Linked DNA regions of Nothobranchius furzeri. The protein of the gene in region 1 interacts with the protein of each later gene in a biochemical or structural test. Links are inferred from orthologs where the notes say so. Each region holds a gene or a part of one and is shown on either strand. Other genes may lie near its edges.

The links.
Region 2: the proteins of notch1a (region 1) and numb form a complex in vitro, tested with the Homo sapiens proteins (2 studies listed by BioGRID). The link is inferred for Nothobranchius furzeri from reciprocal best matches to the Homo sapiens genes NOTCH1 and NUMB.
Region 3: the proteins of notch1a (region 1) and snw1 form a complex in vitro, tested with the Homo sapiens proteins (3 studies listed by BioGRID). The link is inferred for Nothobranchius furzeri from reciprocal best matches to the Homo sapiens genes NOTCH1 and SNW1.
Region 4: the proteins of notch1a (region 1) and maml1 form a complex in vitro, tested with the Homo sapiens proteins (2 studies listed by BioGRID). The link is inferred for Nothobranchius furzeri from reciprocal best matches to the Homo sapiens genes NOTCH1 and MAML1.
Region 5: the proteins of notch1a (region 1) and fbxw7 form a complex in vitro, tested with the Homo sapiens proteins (2 studies listed by BioGRID and IntAct, with this or other methods). The link is inferred for Nothobranchius furzeri from reciprocal best matches to the Homo sapiens genes NOTCH1 and FBXW7.
Region 6: the proteins of notch1a (region 1) and nfkb1 form a complex in vitro, tested with the Homo sapiens proteins (2 studies listed by BioGRID). The link is inferred for Nothobranchius furzeri from reciprocal best matches to the Homo sapiens genes NOTCH1 and NFKB1.
Region 7: the proteins of notch1a (region 1) and usp10 form a complex in vitro, tested with the Homo sapiens proteins (2 studies listed by BioGRID, with this or other methods). The link is inferred for Nothobranchius furzeri from reciprocal best matches to the Homo sapiens genes NOTCH1 and USP10.

Annotation. Positions count from the first base shown.
Region 1 is NC_091746.1:60,833,946-60,836,999, reverse strand, and holds the end of notch1a (neurogenic locus notch homolog protein 1), read right to left. Parts: intron 3,053-3,054; coding exon 1,799-3,052; 3' UTR 501-1,798; downstream 1-500. UniProt on the Homo sapiens protein: Functions as a receptor for membrane-bound ligands Jagged-1 (JAG1), Jagged-2 (JAG2) and Delta-1 (DLL1) to regulate cell-fate determination.
Region 2 is NC_091758.1:16,941,180-16,945,271, forward strand, and holds the start of numb (protein numb homolog), read right to left. Parts: upstream 2,801-4,092; 5' UTR 2,696-2,800; intron 1,871-2,695; exon of another isoform or gene 1,715-1,870; intron 1,709-1,714; exon of another isoform or gene 1,518-1,708; intron 1-1,517. UniProt on the Homo sapiens protein: Regulates clathrin-mediated receptor endocytosis. Plays a role in the process of neurogenesis.
Region 3 is NC_091742.1:20,654,240-20,657,739, reverse strand, and holds part of snw1 (SNW domain-containing protein 1), read right to left. Parts: intron 2,356-3,500; coding exon 2,260-2,355; intron 1,962-2,259; coding exon 1,855-1,961; intron 1,762-1,854; coding exon 1,657-1,761; intron 349-1,656; coding exon 279-348; intron 177-278; coding exon 111-176; intron 24-110; coding exon 1-23. UniProt on the Homo sapiens protein: Involved in pre-mRNA splicing as component of the spliceosome. As a component of the minor spliceosome, involved in the splicing of U12-type introns in pre-mRNAs.
Region 4 is NC_091741.1:65,500,013-65,503,512, reverse strand, and holds part of maml1 (mastermind-like protein 1), read right to left. Parts: coding exon 3,003-3,500; intron 2,559-3,002; coding exon 2,334-2,558; intron 2,016-2,333; coding exon 1,877-2,015; intron 1-1,876. UniProt on the Homo sapiens protein: Acts as a transcriptional coactivator for NOTCH proteins. Has been shown to amplify NOTCH-induced transcription of HES1. Enhances phosphorylation and proteolytic turnover of the NOTCH intracellular domain in the nucleus through interaction with CDK8.
Region 5 is NC_091747.1:80,809,342-80,812,841, reverse strand, and holds part of fbxw7 (F-box/WD repeat-containing protein 7), read left to right. Parts: intron 1-944; coding exon 945-1,193; intron 1,194-1,281; coding exon 1,282-1,797; intron 1,798-3,500. UniProt on the Homo sapiens protein: Substrate recognition component of a SCF (SKP1-CUL1-F-box protein) E3 ubiquitin-protein ligase complex which mediates the ubiquitination and subsequent proteasomal degradation of target proteins.
Region 6 is NC_091741.1:65,304,963-65,308,462, reverse strand, and holds part of nfkb1 (nuclear factor NF-kappa-B p105 subunit), read left to right. Parts: intron 1-2,834; coding exon 2,835-2,973; intron 2,974-3,500.
Region 7 is NC_091749.1:59,303,010-59,307,241, forward strand, and holds the start of usp10 (ubiquitin carboxyl-terminal hydrolase 10), read right to left. Parts: upstream 2,801-4,232; 5' UTR 2,701-2,800; coding exon 2,521-2,700; intron 2,040-2,520; exon of another isoform or gene 1,907-2,039; intron 1-1,906. UniProt on the Homo sapiens protein: Hydrolase that can remove conjugated ubiquitin from target proteins such as p53/TP53, RPS2/us5, RPS3/us3, RPS10/eS10, BECN1, SNX3 and CFTR.

The DNA.
Region 1 (3,054 bases):
AAAAAGAGGAGGACTAATAAAAAGGGAAAATAACTCATGTCAGAAGAGGGGAGAGTTTCGCAAATCCAGTTAAAGGTAAGCTTGTCGAAAATTTAGTGTAAGGGGCCCCATGTCTGTGTTCGCCTTGGGCCCCCAAATTGCTAAATCCGCCTCTGGTTCGGGGATCCTGGAACTCCTTGTGAAGCACCTCTAGCAGGTGGAGTCGTCCCTCAAATCCCAGAAGCCGTTTATCTATGGACTGTAGTAAATCTAAGACATCCTTATGGGGAGATGAGGCCTCGGGCAAGTCCTGGGGACGGCTCCTCTTGGTCCCAGGTGTTTCCGTCTCAGCTGCTGCTGCTTTCTTCGGTCCCATGACAAAAATCTCAAAAACCTCTATGCTTTTATTTCATCTTATTCCAGCTTACAACATGATTATGGTGCATGATGTGTTTAGTTTGAGAAGGCTCTAATAATATTGTCATCTCAGAGCACTAGTTATGCAACAAGGAAAGACACTGTTTTGAGGTTTAACTGCAATTCTTTTTATTGAATCATGACAGCTTTACAAAAGATTTTCATCTGGAAATATGTCTACTATGCATGAAAATGTTATTACTTTTTGTTCCTTAAAAACATCTTTACCTCTTGATTAGTTTATAAAACATAACATTTAGACACCTTAAGCTACACCTGTTCACAAAGTGCAGATGATGTCGCTAAAAACATACAAAGGTCCCCATTTCGTTCACAAACAACATCACTTTCCTCTTGGAAGACGTAACTTTTTTTTTTTTACAAGAAATCTCAAAAAGTACATTGCTTTTTGTAAGAAAAGCATAAATCACACTGGCACTTTTAAAAACCGTGACAAATGTAACATTTCAACATTTTACAAAAGGTCTGCAAGGTAACACTTAACAGGTTAAACACGGTAACCATAGTCAAAGATTTGCAAACCATTTATAAGAAACAAAGAAACAATCCTTGGGTCACAAATGATCACAAATCAATCGCTCAGCATCAGCCCTGATCATTTTTCTATAAAATTAGGCTGAGATTTACTGAAAAGCATCACTTAGTCAGTAAAACGATATTTGATCGTAGCTTTAAGGTCCAAAATCCCCTAAGTTCATTACCTCTGTTATGCCATTTATTAGCTATTGTTGATTATTTTTTGTTATTTTGTTCAGAAAGGATATTCTAGCAAGCAACCAAAGGAAAAGTGATTCTTTAAATTAATATATTAAATCAATGTCTAACAAAGACTCAGTGATAAGACTCAGTGAAATGTAGTTCAGTAACAAACAAAGTTACTTAAAAAAAGGACAAATGAGGTTAAAGATAAATTTAATTAATACTGAAAATTTAAAATATTCTCTAAAACATAAAAAAACTGTACAAAGGTAAAGCAATGCAGAAGCCCTACTCACCCCCCCCCCCCCCCCGCCCAAAAAAAATAAAAAGAAAAGGAAAATCAAACTTTTGTGCCAAAAGAGTCAAACAAATCCAGTGAATATATCAACACAAGACAAATAAATAACCAGTGTACACATCCAGGAGGCGTTCTTTCTGACAGACACTACCTTTCAACAGTTTCTAGGTTTTTCATACATTAAAAAAACATAAATATAAAACATCTTTCTTTCAGCTCACAAAATGCACATAAATAAATACAAAATAACTAAAACTGCTCTTATTAGTATAAAAACTGATTATGAAAAGGGAAATTTCTTCAGTCTTGTCACAAATTTGTTACTCTTTATGACAGAAATGTTGTTGTTTTGTGTGTTCTGTGTTCAATCTGAGCAGGTCCAATTTATTTAAACTTCTCTGGGATTAGATTAATCTGTGAATGGATGCTTGTGGGCGGGCTAGAGATGCCCTCTGACCAGTCGGACATGTTGGAATGTGGGGATGAGCTGGACCACTGGTCAGGGGAACCAGGGGATGGGGTCAGAAAAGGATGGTCGGGCACCTGTAACTGGTGGTTGGGTGTGTTGTCCATAGGGCCTGTGTAGCTATGTTGGGAGGGAGGGGTAAGAAACTGGGTACCAAGCATCTGCGTCTCCTGTGGCATAATAGTGTGGATGGGCACTGATCGTCCTGTGCTGCTGTTCGGCTGCATGTCTGAGCCGTTCAGCTCAACCGTTGGGAAGCTCTGGTTGAGGGATTGACCAGCTGTTGTGGAATTGGAGTTTTGATGCTTGAGCTGCCGTGAGCGAGCCTGCTGCATCAAGTGTGCAGACGAGCCAAGGTGGCTGTTCTGTAGATTCTGGTAGCCCATTATCTGAGACAAAGTGGCAGTACTGACACCATGCAGGGCACCCATCATGCTGTGTGCAATGGATGGTCCTTGGGTGAAGCTTCCCTGCTGGCCTACGCCTGGATGCATCCTGGGGATCCAGTCACACTGACCCCCTCTGCCACCACCTATGGAGGTGGTCCCCTGAGCATTGGGACTGGACACGGGAAGGTGAGAAAGACGGGGAGGGTCAAACGACATGCAAGTCATATCTTTACCCAGATTAATCTGGCCTGTAAGAGAATCTCCATTGCCTTGTAGATGATTTAGAGACATGGGGGATTGCTGGAAGGGCGATGCCATAGGAGGAGAAGCTACATCAGAAAGGTAGCCATGAGGCGACTCCAGTGATTCAACTGGAGAAAGAACAGATGTTGTGTCCAGCAAGTTACTCTTTCCATCCAGAGATTTTTTCTTCTTAACCCTAATGTCCTTACCCCCATCCTTCCCCCCTTTTCCACTAGAACTTGATTTCCGGGACTTCTTGACAGAAGGAGCTGGCTTGAGGTTGCTGAGATAGTCATTGGGAGAACATAGAGGTGGAGAGAGTGTGGAGGTGTTTAAGGGGGCACTGTGAAGCCCAGGACTCCTAACCACGTTGTATTCGTCTAGAAGCCGAACAATGTCATGATGCATTCGCTCCTGGGCGATATCCCGAGGCAGCTGATCAAGATGGTCAGTGATCTCACGATTGGCAAAGTGCTCAAGAAGAACTTTTGCAGTTTCATAACTGCCTTCACGGGCTGCAAGGAACAGTGGGGTCTCCTCCT
Region 2 (4,092 bases), on another chromosome or scaffold:
TACTCGATTACAAAAATATTCGATAGCTGCAGCCCTAGTGTGCAGACAGCATGCCCCTCTTTGTGAAGATGAAAGGGTATCAAATGCTACACGGACGTTTGAAGGGGCTAACAGAAACAATAATATGCAACTCCCTTTGAATTCCATCTTGCTTGCGTCTTCTCTGTGCTCCAAAACAGCTAAAGAAGCAACTTGTTTTCAAACCAACTCACTAAAAACTCATAAGCAAACACCCGTACATGACAGAAAATATCATGCACATTAGGAAGCCGAGGAGACGGCCACACGGATTCTATTTGATCAGTCAACAAAACAAAGAATCAATCAAAACTGAGCTAAACGGATGCTGATTTCACCACACACAGGTAGGCACGACTATCTGAGGACAGGTTAGCCTGGTGAATGCATTATCATTGCACAGCAGGTTTATCTACCTGTGTTGCATCATTTGCATGCAAAGCTCACTGCCAAAAGAGCTCTTTTCTCTTGACAGCAGCGCAAGATGATAAGGGTAATGCAAGTTTCTCAGAGAATCTCTAAACCACAGAAAGATACATGCTCCTGTGTTCTCCTTCGCCTCCCTCGAATAGCTGACATACTTAGACAGTGGGTTCAGTGGAAGATAACCAGACAACTCCCTTTTTGGTAAACGATGGGAGAAAAATCTGCCATTTTGCTCCATTTTTTCCACTTCAGAAAAAACTACTGGGCTTAAACCGATGAATGAATAGGAATAAACATGGCTGACAGTAGTTGTCTTGTTTCTGTAGACTTGTAAACAAAAAGTGAGATTTGATGTTTAAGGGGCCTAGCTATGTGCTGTTTTGTTTTTTTTTTCATCTTGAATTTATACAATTACACTTATCCAACCAGAATAAAAATATTATTAGCAAACAAACACTATTCCCTCATAATGAACGACAAAACAGCATGTCATGATACCATCAAGGGAATTGTGATGGATCCAAACTTCCTGACAACATTCCCATCTGAATAACCTGGGCACATCATCCTCCTGCTCCTGGATCTGTTAGTAGGAGGTAATCTGACTACTGTGTTTATCTGCTCACAGATACAACCAGAGTAGAATGAAGAGTGAGCAAGATCTCACCAAGATACCATCACCTTACGCGATCACATTAACGCACCTTAAACCATCCAGCGTGTTAAGAGCATGAGTCACGGCTGATCCAGGACCTGTCGTTTCAGCCTCATTAACATGTTCAGAGCTGAACCAGTTACGCCTTTTTTCCCCGGAACGTGCTAAGTCACTTCAGTTTACAGCTAAATAAACCCACTCTTTCTTTAGCACACAACGTTTTAACAATAATATTACACACCAGCGACGTCGTGACAACAAACCAGCTCGGTGGCTGCACACTCCAGCCGGAGTGACGTCCATCTCTTAAAAGTTATCCTGGTAACTTGAAAGTGGTGAGCTAACTAGCTAAATATCATCCCATCTCAGACTGCCACATACAGAATGACATCTCCTTTGTTTGTGAGAGAAATCAGACCTCGGAGCTTGCATTAGCCTCTTCTGCCATGTAGTCAGGGTAGTAAAAGAACAGAATAGTGTCACGTAACCGGGAGCTAGTGTAGCTTGGTGCGCAGGGAGGGGGGGACTAGCGCAGCTTAGCTTGGGAGCTAACGGTTAACTAGAAACGCTCGTCCTATCAACACAGAACGTCTTTTGTTTTTTCTTTCAACATACCTGTGACCACCTCTGCGACCCAGAAGGATCCCCACCGAGACCGTCACCTGTGAGTCACGAGCCGTGCCGTGCCAAATAATTCAAATTCCACAAAAAAGTCTCGGAGAGACCCGAGCAGTCCAATCGCTTCAGTCACCGCCGCTGAATGGCTGCGACCCGGAGACTCAACCAAACCTCCTCCTTGGCAACGGACCGCCTCCGTGCGAGGCCATTGGCTGGCGCGCGCTGATCGGAGGTGATCGATAGCTGATTGTAACCTGGGCCGGAGTCAGTGACGCAGTTGTGAGCGGAACAATTACCACATGCGCAGAGACGCTCATTTTTGCTGTGAAACGGAAGCCACAACAATTATGGGTGGATATAAAGACAACGTTTTGTCAATGAAAAATCAGAATCTTACATGTTTACAGGTGAGACTGGAACCATTAGTTCAGTTAGTCAACTTAAAAGGTGAAACTAACATATTGGAATAATTCCAGGCAAAGACAGAAATTTCAAGCCTTTATTTGTCATAACTGTAAAGATTATGGCTTACAGTTTATGAAAACCCCAATATCTAAATCCTAGACCATTAATATTCTAGGCTAATCGGCTTGATCGGAAACACATGCAAAGGGTTCCTGAGCCTTTAGTCTTTAGCCTCTCAGTCTACGTTTATTTACTGACATAAATTAATTTTTGCACCAGATTCTAGTTTTATTGTTTTTTTTATTTGTTTAAAACACTGGTGATTAATTCAGGTTAACTGTAACCCCCATCACACACGCACGCACGCACACACACACACACACACACACACACCTGATGATCACACACTGGCCCCTTCAAAAGGCCAGAAGTTTATCAGCATTCCTCACAAATAGCTAAAAGGTTACAGAACAAGCAGAAACACACACACACACACACACACACACACACACACACACACACACACACACACACAAGGCTAAAAGTAGTTGGACCTGTTTTGTAGATTCTTACCTTAGCTGTGGTGAAGAATCTGTTGCTGTCCCAGATTAACTATGCCTCTTTATCTGTGACTGTTTTTTGTTCTCCGTTAAGTTTCTCTTCTGATTCTGTTTCAAGGTTTTACAGCAAAGAAGCACCGATCAACCTGTCCCAGAATTTTCCCTTTGAGCCTCACATCCCCTCTTTTGTTAGGATGGGCTGCCTCCTGCTGGAAGGTTGGACTGTCATCAGGTCTTTTTTCTTGAACCTGAGATCCTTATAAAATAATCTAATTAATGCAGGCGAAACAGCATTTCAATATAAAACAGACAAATGAATATAATTCTCATAACTATATCCAATACAGTCCACCCAGAACAGAGATGAGAAACAAATCTGTCAATAATTTTTATTTTTAGCTGAACATACTTTTGATGTGCTTAATTTTAGCCCGACCACAGGCTGCAGAACAGAGCAAAACATATATGTGGCTCAGCAGCCACAGAAATCTCCAGGGTTGTTATTTTGTAGGTCAGAACCTTTAAAGTTCATGAACCTTTGTTAGCTGCAGCTAAGGATTAGGGTTACCGGGGTCAACGGGAATTAGGGGTTAGAGATTTGTGTTCTAGTGATAGGAGCCTTCATTTACTTAGGCTGACCTTTCAACTTCACCTCACCTTTCATCATGCTGTGACATAATTTTATGACCTTTCTAGGATCTCAGTATCACAATCTGTCCATGCTGTGAAATAAAGTATCTCCATAATCTGACTTCTCAAACATTTGGATCTTATGGTTCCTGGGTTTTGTTAGCAGGAAAAAGGAGGATTGTGTTTTTTTTCTCAAAAAGCAATCATTAAATTCTGGCTGAACAAAGTGAGTCGAGGACCTCTGCCATACACCTTTATCTACAGACACATAACAAAGTAACTCGCACCAAAGCCTACCGACTAGCTGTAAGACCCGTGGAGGAACCTACTGGATTAAGTGTGTGTGGGAACTGGTAACACGTCCCTCACATCACTGTAGAGGAGTCTTGTCCTGCTCTTCTCCACAGAACAGTCTGAATTCAGCTCCATTAAAGGGTTCTCCAGCAGATATGGCCTGTTTAAGGTCAGATGCTCTCATTCAGGATGTCCTGCTAGAGAACAGAACCCATGGTTCCATCAACAAGTGTTCCAGGTCCTGAAGTAGCTAAGCAGCCCCAGACCATCCCACCACCACCACCGTGTCTGACTGTCACTGGTTCACAGAGCACCTGGTTGGTCTGGAGTCTTGTTCACTTAGTAAATGAACTCTTGTGTGAAAACTGTCTGAAATATTAATTGGTGAATGTGTTCACCAGCTCTTCTCTGATTAAACCCCGTCTCTCTCAGGATCTTGAGCTTCTTGCTCCTCTTTAACCACAGCACATAACCAAAATTTAATCA
Region 3 (3,500 bases), on another chromosome or scaffold:
TTATCAAGGGGGATGGTGTAACCCTGAACAAGAGCACATCAAAGGACTTGAAATCTACCCACAGCTGTATTCAGACTAAACCAACCAATGTTCCCGGTGAGTCTGCTCACCTTAGCGTTCTTCCAGTTGGAAATACACGGAGGAATCTTCCACTCCTGCTGCTCTTTGACCGTCATCTACAACAAAGTAAGAAACTCCATCAGAAGCAGCCATAGCTAGCTCATCTTCATTTGCTATGTAGCATCAACAACCAGAGGGCTTCCAACGTTTTAGCTGACCTTTCTGCTTGGAGAGTGCATGACCGGGGCGGGAGGGGAAGGGGGTCCTCGAGGAATCTTCTTATTGATTCTGAAACGCACAAACACTCAAGTTAATTCAACAATCCAGGGATGTCAACCAGACGATGCAGAACTACAGAGAAACACGGCTTGGATCAGGAAAGTTGAAGAAGCAAGTTTAAAGTCTTGTGTGAATTTCTACAGACATGCTAGCCGCGTTCCGCTAGGACTGCCGGTACCCGTCAGCTTCCTCTGGAGTGCCACATGCCAAAAAGACCTGATAGGACTCTTTCTTCAGCTTGACAGCATCCCTAACCGCCGGTGTCCACCAGCGGGTTCGGGGGTTGCCATCACGACAGGCACCGACGATCCTGCGACCACAGCTCCGGTCGGCCGCCTCAACAATGGAGGCTCGGAACAGGGTCCATTCAGACTCAATGTCCCCCGCTTCCCCCGGAACATTTTGGAAGTTCTGTTGGAGGTGGGAATTGAAGACAATCCCAGCAGACCCTCGCGATACTTTTGGGCCGGTCTGGTCTGACCGGCATCCTCCCCCACCATCTGAGCCAACTCACCACCAGGTGGTGGTCAGTTGACAGCTCCGCCCCCTCTTCACCCGAGTGTCCAAGACGTGCGGCCGCAGGTCAGATGAAACAACAACAAAGTCGATCATCGAGCTGCGGCCTAAGGTATCCTGGTGCCAGGAGCACATATGGACACCTTTACGTCTGAACATGGTGTTCATTATGGACAATCCATGACTGGCACAGAAGTCCAATAACAAAACACCACTCAAATTCAGATCGGGGGGGCCGTTCCTCCCAACCACACCTCTCCAGGTCTCACTGTCGTTGCCCACGTGAGCGTTAAAGTCCCCCACCAGAACGAGGGAGTCACCGGAAGGAGCGCTTTCCAGCACCCCCTCCAAGGTCTCCAAAAAGGGTGGGTAGTCTGAACTGTAGTTTGGTGCATGAGCACAGACCAAAGCCAGAACCCGTCCCCCCACACGTAGGCGGAGGGAGGCTACCCTCTCATTCACCGGGGTAAACCCCAACGTACAGGCACCAAGATGGGGGGCAACTAGTATGCCCACCTCTGCTCGGCGCCTCTCAGTGGGAGCAACTCCAGAGTGGTAGAACGTCCAACCCCTCTCAGGGAAACTAGTTCCAGAGCCAGAGCCATGCGTTGAGGTGAGTCCGACTATATCTAGTCGGAACCTCTCATCCTCACACACCAACTCAGGCTCCTTCCCCACTCATTAAATGTTTTTTTGTGACAACTCCAAACTGAAATATATTTCCTTTAGACGACATTTGCTGCCCAACTTAAATCAACACAGAACAAAAAGTAGATCACCATTTCAAACCGTCTGACTTACTTAAAACGAGGAGGCTCCATCGGATCTTTCTGCATCTCCACCATACGGATAACTCGCTGCTTGGCTCCTGAATTAAAAGCCACCCCCTGCTGGGAAGGAGTGTATCTGAAGAAGACAACAATAGCACATGACTAATGTCAATAGAACTGTTCCTAACACACACACACACACACACACATGTTCAGCTTCACTACACACCTGATGTATTGTGCAGGAGCTTGTTTGTCTGCGGCTCTGACGGGCATGGCAGCTGCGATCTTCTGAGACACTTGCTTCTCCAGGGCGGCACGAGTTTTCTCCGTCAGCTACAGAGGAGGAACAGGAACATTTATCCAGTTTATCATGATTACTAATGAGAATAAAACAAACAAGACACAGCAGCGGTTTGCCAGTGAGATGAAATAAAACTTGCAGATAAAGGATTCAATGGTTCAAACAGCCTGTAAGATTCTGGGTTGCAAATAAAAGGATTACTCCAAATAAGAAATAACAGCTGAGTTAAAGCTCGCCTTTGATTATTTAAAGGTAGCATTAATGCATTAGTAATAAATGAAGGATAGAAAAACAGAGCTGCATCTTCTAACATGTTGTATGACATCGTACCTCTTGAACAGCCTCCTCGTCTGGCTTCTGCAGGCCTTGTGCATCTTCATGAAGGATCTCTTTGGGAAGCAGGTCGGTGTACTTGCTGAAGATCACCTGCAATAAGGAAAATACATTCAGTGTTGAGAAACTACAAAGGAAAGCTCACAACTAAAGCCTGATTTATGCTTCTCCGTCTGCGTCAGTGCGGAGACACGCGACGCCATTATCCGTCCTTGCGTAGGGCTCCGGCAGACACGCAAGTACGTACGGAGTCGAGCCCACTTTTTAAAACATCTGTCGAACGAGACGGATTACGCAAGCTTGTGATTGGTCAGGACGCCGCTGTTGTTTACAGCGCCGCCATTGCAAAGAGAGCCGAGGATAACTAGCGGCAGACACGGAGAAGCTTGAAGAAGACCTCGCAAAAAAAACTAAAAATATGAACGTTTCATTCTCCCGTGATTGGAGGAGTGAAAAGATGCGCAGCAAGCGTTTTATTTGTGGACGGAAATGACAGGAAACGTGGGTTTAGAGGTGGGCAGCGCATGAAGCGGTGGGAGAATGACAGACAAATATGTCCGTGTTAAAAGTCTCTTATATACACAAAAAACACAATATAAACACACGATCTTGGACCAATACATGACAGGATACCACAGAACAGCGCTACGCCCTCTGTTGTCCTGGCAGGGAATTGCTTTGCAACACTCTCCAGGAGACGGAGAAGTATGAAAGCAAAAAGCTTCCATCAATCCGTGCGTGTCTGTCCCTTGCGGCGCTGACGGAGAAGCATCAACCAGGCTAGGGCTGTCGCGGTTGAGGAATTCCCCCTGCGGTGATTCAGGGTGGCTTAATATTGCGGTATGCGATATTATTGCAGTCCTTTTTTTATTGCAGTACTATCTAAACATAATGTTTACACATTTAAAAAAGGTTAAAAATTGCCGTGCCTTCTTTTATAACGCTTTACTGAATGCAGCTCAAAGGGCAGTAACAACACAGATCGCAGTAACGTTTGTTTGTCCGACAGTCGGAGTCCGACTGAACTTAAAAACAACAAAATTCAGGAGAAGGTTAAACTTTTAAATGCAAATTTAGCTGCAGCATCTAACAAATAAGAAACAAGTCCCCATTTTGTTTAGTTGTTTAAAATCAAGCATAAAAAATTGCATGTACCGGGCGCGCGCGCGCCGGGGGGCGGGCGCACTATCATTTCACTTTCACACACACACGAATGACGGTGATTTATAGCTCGGTCA
Region 4 (3,500 bases), on another chromosome or scaffold:
GAAAAGACTGAAAATCAGGCACACACAGCGAGCCATCTGCTGAGCAAGCGGCCTCGAATGACTGTCAGCTCAGCAGTTTGCTCTCGTGTGAGGCAGCCCTAATATGGCATCGCCCAGAGATGTAGACCTGCTCCCATGTATTTTGTTTCCAATTTTTATGGTTATATGTTATGAATCCACCAATATTGTAATTTTATTCATTATCAACAAGATTTCGATAATGAATATATATAGTGTATATATAAATATATATATAATTTTAATAACTAGCATATTTAACCTATGACTCATGATTTAAAGATTTTGTGAAATGCCTTGAAATGACTCGTGATTTGGCACTATACAAATAAACTTGAATTGAATTATAGACTAAGGATCCCACAACCTGGCCCTGGATAAGTGGAGGAAAACAGATGGATGGAGATTTAACAATGTATCACCAAACTAGATGGTTTTGAAAAGAACTGAAATGGATCAGGTGAAGTCACATTTGAGTTGTCCAGTAGTCAGGTTCTAAATAAAACCCAGACGTACTGAAGATATACGTGTTATCTTGACTTGGTGATAGTCTTTCTGCCCAGTTTACATTGTCTTGTTTTCATCACATCAACCTTGCTGAATCCATATTGTTACCAAATGATTGATGCACGTTTTTGGAAACAAGCTTCTCCACGACTAAACCTATGTCAGTTGTAGCCCGCTGATCAACGCTCTCGGCTGACCATCAATAACTGCGGCTGGCTGCAGAGTGTTGCGGACCAAGCGGCGAGCGTCATTGAGAAGAGAACTGTTACAAGATTTGGGCAGCTACGAGCAGCCGTGGTCCACAAGTATTGAGAGAATCAGAACTATGAGCTGCAAGCAGCCCACTGCTTCCATATTTAATTCGTTCTCCATTTCCTCATTTTGCTTTTCTTGTTACAGACTCGATGGGTTGGAGTCACATGACTATGTGACTGGCTGTGACGTGTACCCCACTGGTCTGTGTCGCAGCTTCTTAAAAGGGACATGGACATCAGCAACTGACTCACATTTATAAATAAATGACGTTGGTAAGAGTTATACATTTGCGTAACGGTAAATTTTCGCTTTACCACCCAGCCTTAAGCCTGGTTTATGCTTCTCCGTCAGCTCCGCAAGGGACAGACACGCACGGACTGACGGAAGCGTTTTGCTCTTGTACTTCTCCGTCTCCTGGAGAGTGTTGCAAAGCAATTGCCCTGCAGGACAACAGAGGGCGTAGCGCTGTTCTGTGGTTTCCTGTCATGCATCGGTCCAAGATCGTGTGTTTATATTGTGTTTTTTGTGTATATAAGTGACTTTTAACAGGGACATATTTGTCTCTCATTCTCCCACCCCTTCATGCGCTCCCCACCTCTAAACCCACGTTTCCTGTCATTTCCGTCCACAAATAAAATGCTTGCTGCGCATCTTTTCACTCCTCCAGTCACGGGAGAATTAAACGTTCATATTTTTAGAGTTTTTTCGCGAGGTATTCTTCAAGCTTCTCCGTGTCTGCCGCTAGTTTTCCTCGGCTCTCTTTGCAATGGCGGCGCTGTAAACAACAGCGGCATCCTGACCAATCACAAGCTTGCGTAATCCGTCTCGTTCGACGGATGTTTAAAAAAGTGGGCTCGACTCCGTACGTACTTGCGTGCCCTACGCAAGTACGGATAATGGCGTTGCGTGTCTCCGCACTGACGCAGACGGAGAAGCATAAATCAGGCTTTAGTCTACACCGTCCTCTGGTATGTTAGGCTGATGCGGAAAATCTCCAAGCAGGATAGAACATTTATTCCTGCAGCTCCATATCCAATTATAAGAGATACTCTGGCATGTTCTCACTAAACACGCAAGCATGAAAACTTTTTCTCACCTGTAAACTGACTGACTGGCTGCTGTGGAAAAGGATTCTGATTGGCTGGTGGTCCTGGCTGGTCCTGGTACTGTGGGGGAGGTCGGGTCAGGTGTCGCTGCAGCTGCTGTTGCTGCTGCTCCTGTTGACGCTGCTTCTCCTGTAAAGGGTTCATGAGTCAGGATCATGAATGATTTACAGCACACCAATAAACTACAAAAAACATCTTAGAACAGAGAAACTTGAGTTAAAAAAGAACCACAAGCAACCATAAAAGAAGGATTGCTGCTTGGGTGGATAAGGGGAAAAAAAACGTGGCATGATGGGAAAAGTGAACAAGCTTCTGATGGCTCCAGCTGCCTCAGCAGACACTCTGGTCAGATCTCCAATGAGGGCCAGCTCCCCCTGGTGTCTGAGGTTAAAAGTCAGCTCAGAAACCTCACAGTAAGCACAAAGTGGAATCACAGGTGAGTCTCACCTGTTCAGCCATGAGCTGCCTCTGCACATACTGCTGCTCCAACATTTGATGCTGCTGCTGCTTCAGTGCTGCTGCCATTGCTGCCTGTTTGTTTGAGTACACAGCGTTATTACGTTTAATGGACAAGGCGTTCACTCCCTGCGGCGCCACCATGTTATTGGGCCCAGGCGTCATGGTGTTGACAGGGCCTGTGCCGTGTGGAGGGGCAGGGTAGGTGTTCTGGTCCTGTAACAAAACAAAAAAAAAAGATAGAAAGAAAAATGTAATCACCTTTAGACAAATACTTCTCTCACCTGTAAACTGACTGACTGGCAGCTGTGCTTATTCAATCAGAATAAAGATATCAGAAGTCTCCTGACTACACAGCAACACTCGTAGAAGGAGAAAAAGTCATCTTTAAAACTTATTGGGGGATTTTTAGTACAAGGGATAAATATTCAATATCCAAGTACAGTTCTCTCAAATAGCTGAACTCCTGATTATCTCTAAACAGTTGATCAGTCTGCCTAAATATGGCCTAGGACAGATTATAGCGTGAGACTGTAGAACAAAGCCTAACCTCTGTGTGTGTGTGTGTGTGTGTGTGTGTGTGTGTGTGTGTGTGTGTGTGTGTGTGCGTGTGTGTGTGTGTGTGTGTGTGCGCGTGTGTGTGTGTGTGTGTGTACATACCTGTGAGTGTGGTATGTGCTGAAGGAAGTTTATACCGTTGGGTTTGGATTGTGGTTGCTGTGGGCGCACCAGACCGAGGGTCTTGTCTTGGTTCTGAGCGTTGGGGGCTCTCGGTGGACCCGGTCCTGCCTCGTAGTGCGACAGAGGTCTAGTGTTGTGGAAGTTCAGGGACACCTGAGTACCTTGTCCTGAGGGGTGGCTAAGTGGGTGTCCTGAGGTCAGGGAACCAAGCATGTTGGGGTGCCCGGTAGACCCCTGCATGCAGCTGCCTGCGCCAGACTTCGGCGAGCCTTTGTTGGGCTGAGAGGGCATCAGCAACTGCTTTGAGGAGTTAGAAGTGAAGTCAGGAGGATACAGGGAGGGGCTCTGGGAGCTGTTGGACATCTGGGGCCAGGGAGGGGGGTTGTGGAACTTGGTCCCCATCTGGGGCTGTTTGTGCTGCTGGGCTCTCTGGTTCTGGGCTGCCATCTGTTTCAGCTGCTGCGCCCGGGATACGTC
Region 5 (3,500 bases), on another chromosome or scaffold:
ACTTTTGGTAATTTACAGAATCTGATTTGATCTGTCAACTTTCAGGGTTTAGTATGTTGCCTGATGTAAATTACAATTTCTAACTAGAAAATTCCTGAAGAATTTTTAAAAAGGGACCTGCCAGCTGGCACAAGATAACATTCATACACATGTAAAAAAAATGCCTCTTTAGAAGGCCTGCCATCAAATTCATCCATTATTGTGCACATAATTAAATCATAATCATGCAAAGTTAATGCAAATTTAGACACACTCAAAATGAATAAAAGAATATGTTTTTTGCTAATAATTTCACCATCATAAATCAAAATGCTTAGAAAAGTAAAAGCACACCTCCCACTGCTGAGCCGTTTATTTTGATGTATAATTTGTGGGGGTGCACGCTGCCGCTCGAGCCGCGTTAACGTCCGCGGAAGAATAATAACGGATATTAATATCTAAAACTCCCCAGGTGCATAACAATAAGGTCCCTGCTTGCTGCAGCAGCAGGTCCCTTAATTATTAAGAACGTACTTAAATGAGTAAACTTTAAATTTTATTTGATTAAAGATGAAACAGCAGCTTTCTTTTGGATTTTAGATATTTTAGAACTGTGTGGAGCGACAAGTTTGGAGCTGCAGCTCTCATCTTCTTTTACAGTGAAACAATATTTAGCTTTTGTATTTGACGTATTGTTTTTTCTGTAATTTGACAAACTTACAAGAGAGTTGTTTACATTTATCTCTGACGTTGTGGCTCCTGTCCCAAAACACAATCACACCCATCACTGTTGCTTGTCTGCTGCTGAGCAGCACAATCGGTTTCCCACAAGCTAATTCTCCACATCAATAATATTTAATAACTTGGCTGATTTTATGGAAAGTACTCCAGACAGTTTAAGAGAAGATGAGGAATAACAACCAATGCATTAAGCATAGCTTAAGTGTTCTGTTTGTGTTTTGCAGAATGTCAAGACCATCCCCTCCTCAGACAGCCTAGCGAAGGTTCAGGAGGTAGCAAGCTGGCTTTTGGAAATGAACCAGGATCTGCTGTCGGGGGGCAGCAGCAGCAGGCGGAGCCGGGGCCCCGGGGGTCAGGCAGTACGAGGTAACGCCTCCTCTACGGCCCGGGCACCCCAGCAGGCAGCAGAGGAGGGTGAGGAAGATGATCACATCAACCGGGTGGTTGAGGAAAGCGAGCAGCCACAGCAGAGGGTGAGGTTTTTTTTATTTTGTGCATGTTGGAACATAAACTGGGTTTCCCTAAAAGGTCATTGTTATTCTTCTCTGTGGCGTTTTGCAGCCGGATGCGTCACAGGTTGATGATGAAAGGGAGCAGCCATGGGCACCCGCCGAGTCAGGAGCCAGCAACGGCCCTCAAGGAGAAGCAGACGAGGAGGAGAGAAGAGGAGGCCAGCTAAATGAAGTGACCGGGGATTATAAAGGAGTCCGATGGGTGTGGGGAGCAGAGCAGAGAGCGCTCCGAGGCCAGCCGCACCTCGAAGAGGAGGAAGAAGAGGAAGAAGAGGAGGAGAACAACAATAGCAGCAGCCACCAAGAGGAGGAGGAGACAGAGGAGAGGACAGAGGGAGGGGAGGAACAAGGAAGGGAAGAGGAGGAGAGGGATGAGGGTGAGGAGGAAGAGGAGGAGGAGGATGACGAAGAGATGGACCAAGACAGTGATGAGTTTGAGCAGGAGGAGGAGGAGGAGGAGGAGGTGGGAGATGGGCTCCGCTCCCCCACTCTCAGGAACAAAGTGTCTGCCCCCAGGAATAATCAGGACTCGCTCTTCACACACCAAAGTTCTTCCAACAAGAAGGTAAGCAGCTTAATGGATCCTGTTAGCCGTTCTGCACGTCTGTGAGTAGCTTTACAATCACATCTGGCCAGATGTTCCTGTAGTCTCACAAACTTCTGAAAATGTTCTGCACCAGCGCTGCATTGTTGTTTGAAACAACAGCGCCACCCAGTGGCCAGAATGCTCCAGCACTGTAAAACTCAACACTGTTAGTCAGAAACTTGTTTCATGTTTGATTGGGAAACATGATTTTATATCTGAAATCCAAAAATGCACATCCTGTTTAGCACTTGTAAAGAGTAAACTGTTCAAAGTTTCATGTGAAAGAGTGTTTAGAGTAACACACATTTGTGTTCAGCACCATTTCTTACATTTAGATCCGTATAGTTTTTATTCTTTAGTGGATCCTGTGATTCAGACGCTGTTCTCCATTACAATTCTGTTCAATTCAGTCAGGTTTAGTTCCCCTGGGCCTCTTGTGATCTGACACAGCTGACCGACCAGGTGTGTTTATCAGGGCCTTAGTCACTTGTGGGCCATTCCCATCTGTACCGGGTCGGCCCGGGCCGGGTAGCGTAGGTTGTTTACATATCTGGGTAGCCTGGTATTTTTCCGGGCCTACCAAGGCTCATTCTCAGCCCTCTTCTCGAGGGGGTCTGCTTCAGGCCGACCAGGGCCAACACACCCACTGCTGACAGCAAATTCACACCTTCCATTAGAGCAAGCCTCTGATTGGTGGGTAGAATCAGCCCACATGGGCTTAAGACAAGGATGTGTGGAATCAACCGGGCCAGGCTGGGGCCGACTGGGGCTACCCGGCCCGGGCCGACCCGGTACAGATGGGAATGGCCCATTGGAGGAGCCATCTGGCTTTGCACACATTCTGTTGAGCTGTGGTTAAATGTGCATGGTATTATAGAAGGATCTGTTATGAGTTTAAATTAAAAGTTTCATTAATAGTTTATTTATAACTTAGCAGTTTTCACAACAGAGACCTTTTGTGATTGAGCTGGTTGAGCTGTGTAAAAAGAAACTGACTAAGGCCTGATGTGCCACCAGATTAGGTGGCTTATGACTCATCACAGATGGGTTCTGTCATGGATTTGATCAGTAAGTTTATCAATAACCTATTTCCCTGTAGTCGGAGAGAAAAAGGAGACAATGAACAACAAGTCAAACAGTTATAACTGTGGCAAGATGCCCCAAACATCCGGTCTCATAGTTTATTTATATATATATATATATATATATATATATATATATATATATATATATATATAGAGAGAGAGAGAGAGAGAGAGGAGAGAGGAGAGAGAGAGAGAGAGAGAGAGAGAGAGAGAGAGAATGTGTGTGTGGGAAGTAGGGGTGGGCAATATAAACGAAATAAGGTAGAAACGATCTAAAATTGGGTAATGATAGTGTTTTTGGCTAAATTGCAATACCGCGATATCGCAAAAACACATGACGTCACTAAGATGTGCACCCTGCTGACATTGGGGCAACAGAATGGCAGTGACTACAAGCATGGATTGGGCGGAGGAGGTGGCCTATGTACAGTGGGGCAAAAAAGTATTTAGTCAGGCACCGTTGTGCAAGTTCTCCCGCTTAAAATGATGACAGAGGTCAGTAATTTTCATCATAGGTACACTTCAACTGTGAGAGACAGAATGTGAAAAAAAATCCATGAATTCACATGGCAGGATTTTTAAAGAATTTATTTGTAA
Region 6 (3,500 bases), on another chromosome or scaffold:
ATAGACAAGGACCTCTTTATTTGAATTACCAGGCATTGACGCATAAACAGGAACTATTGCTGAAGTCTGAGCACTGTTACCATCATGTACAACTCTATTGGATGTGGTTTCTTGAATGGTGTCTTGCAGCGATTGTAGCGTTCTTCCCTTAATGAAAGAATATTTTCTTTGAACTTGAAATATTTTTCCTTTCAATAAGAGTTTGGAAGGATGATTTTCAATGATTAAACTTGAGTGGATCACCATTAAAAACTGTGGGCTCTGGAATGGGTAGCCTATTTGCTGATATAGCCTCAGCTAAGACTTTCACAAGCTCTCCTGTGCTGTCTTGAAGCACATGTGTTGGCACTGCATCCTTTGGTGATTGTGAGTGCCAGTTGTCAGATTTCATTTGGTTGCGTGGCTGCATAACCTTATGTAGATCTAGGCTCTGTGGAGCATTCCCTTGTGCTGGGCTGAGCTCATTCTCATCATACACCTGAAGCCTTGCTTTGGCTGCATTCATCCTTTTCAAATTCTCTAAACGATCAAGCTCTCTCTTTAGGTTCTCTACAGACCTCTTTCTTGCCGCATTCTCTTCTTGCTGTTTCTTTAAGAGAGCGGCCTCTTGTTTCTCTTTTTCTAGCCTGCGTTCGGTTTCTTCTCTTTCTCCTTCAAGACGACGAGCTAATGCGGCTGCTTCTTGGTCTGCGATGATCAACCTCTCTTCAGCTTCAAGCTTTTGCAGCTTCTCTTGGTGGTCCTCTTGTTCAGCCATAATCTGCAGTACAGCCCGTGTAGCTGCATACTCGGCAGCAGCTTCTTGTCTTCTAAGTGAAGATACATTTGAGCGAATAGAAGATGCTTTAGAACCATTAGAGGCAGAAAGTGAAACACTGGAAGTTGAAGATGCGAATACAGAACTGTGATCTGGCCAAATCAACTCCTCAGCTGTACCCTGTATCTCAAATTGAGCATTTCGTAATACAGTCTTGGTGATCGAGATGCAGTTATCCATCTTGCGACGCATGTCATGGGATGGTTGATCAATTTTTCGGTAGTCGTCATAAGCAATGTTCAATTCAGATAATTCCCTTTGAATACCGATGATGTGTTCTTGTAGGATGTCACTAGTATCCTGTTTTAACACAGATCTTTTAGCTACCTTAATTAGAGCTTTCCATCGTTCATATTTGCTGTCAAAGCGAAGCGCTAGCCCCTTGATTTGCTTTTTCTGAAACTCCTTTCCCTTTTCTGTTAATGTCCGGGCTCTTTCACTTCTACGAGGCACTTCAGGTGGTGCTATATTTTGCTCGATATTTGATTCATCTGTCTGCTCTAACTCGGTCTCTTCTTCCAGAGCAGCTGCTGCACCCTGAGCTTCTTTACTTGTATGTGACATTTTGATTATTTGTACACAGGCAACATACAAGAGCAAGCTGCAACACTATTTGTCAATGCTGAATAAGGGGCTTAACTAACTAAAGTCACTCTCCATGTAGCATATTACAGAGTAAGTACACTTAACAGAGTTCTTCTTATAACCTGTCACACACCGAACTTGTAACGACATTGAACCGTAAATACAAACTGGATATCTACCAAATGTACAAGGTGTACTTCTGCTCCTTAAGAGCCAACTATTATTATTCAACTGAACATGAATTTACATGTCTTACTTAAGTGCACATTCATATACGTGAAACACCGTGGCTGCCAGGTTATACACAGTCCCTCTTAGTTTTCAACTCTTGTGTCACTTTTCAGACCAAAACTTTAGAGTCTGACTTATAGACTTCTTCATGAAAACCTTATGAACCTGTGTGGCCTAAACAGTGGCTTATCTAAATGGTAAATGGCCTGTATTTGATATAGCGCCTTCTAGAGTCCTGGAACCCCCCAAGGCGCTTTACAACACAATCAGTCATTCACCCATTCACACACTGGTGGGGATAAACTACAATGTAGCCACAGCTGCCCTGGGGCGCACTGACAGAGGCGAGGCTGCCACTGGCGCCACCGGTCCCTCTGACCACCACCAGCAGGCAACGTGGGTTAAGTGTCTTGCCCAAGGACACAACGACAGCGACAGACTGAGCGGGGCTCGAACCTGCAACCTTCCGATTACGGGGCGAGCACTTAACTCCTGTGCCACCGTGTTCCCGTCTTGATGAGCTGCCGAACTTGCGCTGATAGGGCATGTTTGGGCCTCGAGTTTGACTTTCGCTCCCTCCGGTTAATAGACGACACCACGGTTCTTCATTCACTGATGGATTTATTCTTCCTTCACACTTCTCCTCCAAAACACCATTAATCCACCGTCAAACTCGCTGGCTGCACGTAACCATAAGGGAGTGAATCCGCTTCAGGAACAAAACTTAACAAAGATAATTCGCTGGTTTCGTCTTCGTCTTCTCTACAGCTTTCCCTTACTTTAAACTGCTTATTTATTCATTCCTGTGACTGCATAGGTTATAGCTTAGCTTCTTTTCACATGCTCTTTTACTTCCCTTTCCGTCACCCAAAACGGGCCGTGCGCAACACAGCATGAAACTTAGTTCCTACCCCAAAAGAAACAACAATAGACCAGGGAAATAAGATACATACATAACACAATAAATTCAAACAAATTGACATAATTTACATTGTGGCAGTTAAAGTTCTATTAATTAATTAAGCTGTTTAAACAGATTAAGCAGATTAAAATGTCTGAACTGCAGTCAGATTCCAGCAAGTTTTCACAGGCTGTGTTTTAACAATTTGCCTTCATTTAAAGTTTTGATAAAAATGTTGTGTTAAAGATAATTTTTTAATAAGATGTGTTTTCTCTTGGTAACATGTTGTCATGACAACAGTTTGCCATCGTCTTCAAGACTCCGAAGTATCGAGACCAGAACCTGCAGAAGCCAACATCGGTGTTCGTCCAGCTGAAGAGGAAATCTGACAACGAAACAAGCGAGCCTAAACCCTTTACTTACCACCCTCAGGTCATAGGTACGTCTCTGACTCCGCCCTCCCTGACTCTGCCTTCAGATTTTGACCCTTTGCACCTACGTCAACTAATCATGTGGGTCCACCATGCTGGACGGCAAAAGCATGTAAACAGTGAGCGACGTGTACTAAACAAAGGGAAAAGTAGAGCCTGAAATAGTTTTTGTTGTCGTTTTTTGCGATTGTTGGCATTACTTTATCAGAAGGAATGCTATCAGAAGAAGTAGCGCACCTAGGCGGGGCTCATAGATACCAGGATTTATGAAAGTTAAGTGGTAACTAGCTTACGTACGTTAGCTTAAGTTCTTCTTGCGGCTGTTCAACGGTGCAAACAACTTTCTGATTTAGCCAAAATTCACCCACTGGATTTATGACATATAAACAGCATTTCACTTTACACTGAAGCTGATTTTTAAAAAGTCCAGATCTCTACCAGTTTTTGTTGCTGGCGGGGTCACCGGGTTCAGCTGCTTCTCTCACACCGGAATGAGAAGATCTTTGAACGGCGATGCTCACACTAAAGAAATAAC
Region 7 (4,232 bases), on another chromosome or scaffold:
AATAGCCGGCTGTGAAAAGGGAAGGCACAGAGAAAAGAAAGTGCAGTTCAAGCATATGTAACTCTTTGCAAACAAGGCCCCCCCATTAGGGCTCACATTGCTGAAACAGCACAACAAGTGACAAACAGCCGGCTTTAATCCCAGCAGCCTCGGAACAACTCGGTCACAACAGAAAGAATGTCCCTTTGCATCTTTTTATGAGCATACAACAGATTACAACAAATTGGACATCTGTATAATTTCAGCTATTGCACGATGACACAACACACTTGACCATTTCATGAAAACTCTGAGATACACACGGGTATAAAAGATGCCAAGATGCCAGCAGATGTATTTGTTTCAGGCATATTCATGTGATTTATGAGAAACTATTATGGTATTAAATAATCTTCAGAAATTTTCTACATAATTAAACGACTAAACCAATTTGCTTCTCTGCAATATTTCTGTTGACAAACCTTTAATATTTATGAAATCTACACGCTGGGAATCAAACACAAATTCTGAGGAAAGTTTGTGTACTCTGACAGAAACAGATCCCTATGTCAACATGAGAAGCTGTAGAACACTGCTAAGTGTGCATGCACCTGCAGGGACATGTCATTACTTTAAAATACACATTAGAAGACAGGAAGGATATATACTTTTAATTGTTTTAATATAAATAAGCAATACAACTATATTTCTTAGCAGTGCAACAACTATTAAAAGTGGTATTTAAGTAGAAATAACCCAAAATGCAATAATTACTACCTGTTCACCATAAAAAATGTTTAATTCTGAAAGCCTGAAAATCAAATAAATCAAACATAACTTGTTTCTGTCTTTCAGCCTTTAGATTTGAATGACCATGCAAAAAATAAGCAGAACCAAATCTGCCATTATCAATAGAAACGGGTAAAAAGTATAACTGACAAGATTTTCCAGCATGACCTGTTTCCTAACCTTTATCTCTTCACTATAGAAGAAGTATGACCTGCTTTGACTGATGTTTGTATTTGGTAACCTATAAGTGTGTGCACACATTTTGTTATTCAGTTCACTTTAACAGCAGCTGCTTCATTCAAGAATTTAAATGTGAACAACAATTAAACAGGATTTTTTAAATCTAATAATGGTTGAAATTTGCTCAATTTAAATGGAGGGGAATCAATATTTCTCAGTAAATATTGACCATTTACCCCATGCCTAAAAGTTGACAAATACTCTTGTGATAAGAGAAATCAAATATTTCAGGGCTGATACCTGATCATTTCACAACGTAAATGTACTTTTGTATAAAAGGGGGAAAAAAGGCTGAAACTGAATTTAATTTATTTTATTTTTATTTTTTTGGTTCTCGTAAACCACTGCTTTGCTGAACAGTCAGCCAACAGAAATGCTCAGTTTGGGGCAGGAAAAGGTGTGAAAACATAATTTCCAGTGATACGTCGCTTCCTGTAATAAATATACATGTTTTGTTGAACATTTAATTCAAACGAACGGCTTATGACGGGTTCCTAATTGATGTGCTTTCGTTTAAATAAAACACTAACTTTGAGTCAAACACAACAAACCCCGGACTTACTTGCAAGTTACTGCATGCACACCTCAAAACGGGCCTTCCCACATGAAGGTTAGCCTCCACGGAATTAAAACCCGAATCTGCTTCCTACAGACTAACTTCTATCACACAGCGAGAAGAGCTAGTTTGCGTTTGCATACGCGAATTGCCCATAGCTAATTTTATCGTGTGTCTACTTACGTTTGCATAAAATGTCAAAATACGAATTAAGGCCCACGCTGTCGCACAGTATTCAGCTAACCAGCAAGCGAAATGACAGCAATGCACACCACCTGTGCAAAACTGCTAGCCTGCTAACAGCTAAATAAGCTCGAAAATGCATCTCATCTTTGGCTTTACTTCTGCTAGCATACGCCTACATTTGCTTGCGGAAAAATATCCGCGAATCGGAACTTGCACCTGATATTGGACGTGTATTCAGTAGTATTGATTTAAGAAAACAAAGTCGAGAAGGCCCGTGTCAGCAGAGCAGGTGGGCCGTGCAAACACGCAGCAGTTTCCTTTCCTGTGACTTCTCTCTTAACAAATAATTCATGACAATCGTAGAATCTGGTACCAAGCAATCCCTGTCGTTTCATTATGCGGGCTGTAGAACCGATTAGATGAAAAAATGCTTTCGTAGCTTTTAAAAATAGCAGTAAGCAGTACTGCTGGCTCATTTGAATGGAGGATCGCACGGCCTGTTAGCAATGTTACCATGCTGGTTGTGTTTCATTGGGAGGAGGGGGGGTGGATGGGGGGCATTAGCAAGCACTTTTCAGCACTACGAATTTCAATGACACGATCAAATCGCTGTTGTAAATGAAAACACACAACTTAGCATAACACGAATATGGTATGATAATTATTTGGTGAACATGTTTTTGCAAAAGAGAGGTGATCGTAAAGCTTTAAATAACGGTTAGATGAATTCCACATTCAGTTGTTTTACTGGCTAATGCTAGCCGAGCTACCTGGTTGCTGTAAGAAGCCATGCTCCTGGTGAGATTTTCTCCCCTCCGCTGACCAGATGAAAACTTCCCCGGGAAGGTGTTACGGGTTTGTAATAACTGCAAACAGTGCTCTACTTTGACGTCATTGTCAGTGGTCCATCGATGTATTTTCAGTTGAAAACTGTGATCCGTGTAATGCATCCGCACTTCATGGTGCTCGACTTGCCATATTCTTCGCTAGCTAGCCAAACCAGCGCGCGGTCGACGAGTAGCAGCGACGGCTCGTGGAGTGATGGTAAATACTTCCGTTAACGGTTAGCTTGTGCCTTCACAATAAAAACATTGGGAATGTCGTAAAGTTGTAATATTTTGGGCAAATTTATTTAAAAAAATTACCAAAAAATGGCATATTACAAAAATTGCAATTATTATTTACCTTTAACATTTCAGTCTTTATCTCTGAAGAAATATGTTTTTTTTATGTTTTCACAAACATGTTTCATAAGAGTTTCATATAAACTTGTTGCATTTAGTTTTACTTTGTACAATTTTTTTAATTATCAATGAAAAATAAATGAATAAAAGTAATTGTTACAACAGTGGGACTTATGTGGTATCAGCTTAGTAAAATTCGCCTTTTATTATTTCAGTCAATGTGATTCGAACTCCAGCAGAGCTTTGATAAGTTTCATTAAGTTTGTCTGTAGAGTTGTGTACTTGACTCAGGTGAAATTCATTTCAGCAGTGCCCGCCTCATCTTTAACATTTTGATTTAATTGTGGGTTTATTCTTTGCAAAGGTCCCTGTCATTTGTGTAATTCCTCAAAGGTCCATCTTGGGGCCAGTTCTATTTACATTATGGGTCCTGTATCCTATCTTTCACATTTTTTAATCATCATTTAGAAAATATCCTGATCTAAATGCCCTTTAAGAAAAGAATAGAGAATAAATTAAATTTCTTTGAAGAAATGATATCTGCAATAAACTGTCAAATAATTTGAAATTAAAATTTTTAATGTTAAAAATAAAAAGCTTCACCCCTACAACATAAACCCTTCCTATGAAAGTAAATAAATATAACTAATAAACATACACGTTTGTAATTTTGTAAGTAGCCTATAAAGCATTTTATTTTTTAATGAGACCTTGAAACAAACTGCCTCCTTTGGCTGTTAATTAAATCAGAATTAAACGAATAATGTGATACAGGACAATTTTTGTAGCTTTAATGTTAAATAGGTTAAAATAACAGACTATGGACATTGTCTGAAGGGTTCCACAACTAGACAATAGGTCCTATTTATTTACTTGTTCATTTAGTTGTTTATTTCAGCAGTGAACATTTTGTTTAATACAACAGGTAGACTATATCAGCTGTTAAAACTCTCGTATACAAAATGAAGAAAACAAATTTCACACGAATATCTCCAATCTGTTATTATTTCATATACTTTTATTATGAAAAGTCTATTTTCCTCGGCGGAAATGCTTCGGATGAAACGGGTAAATTCACTTCGCTTGAGCGCTGACCTCGTGGTCGTGTGTCGTCCGGGTTGTGGCATGAATTGCCAAATTTGGTGTTCTAGACATTAGTTTAACCGAAAACAAAAACTTTTATAACCGTTTTCAGTTTGATCTAAATCTTTGCGAAGAGGTTTCCATTTTTGTCCAAAACAGCAAAATAACAGCAGTTTTTTGTTTGGGAGTCCACACGCACTAAATAAATGGTGCAG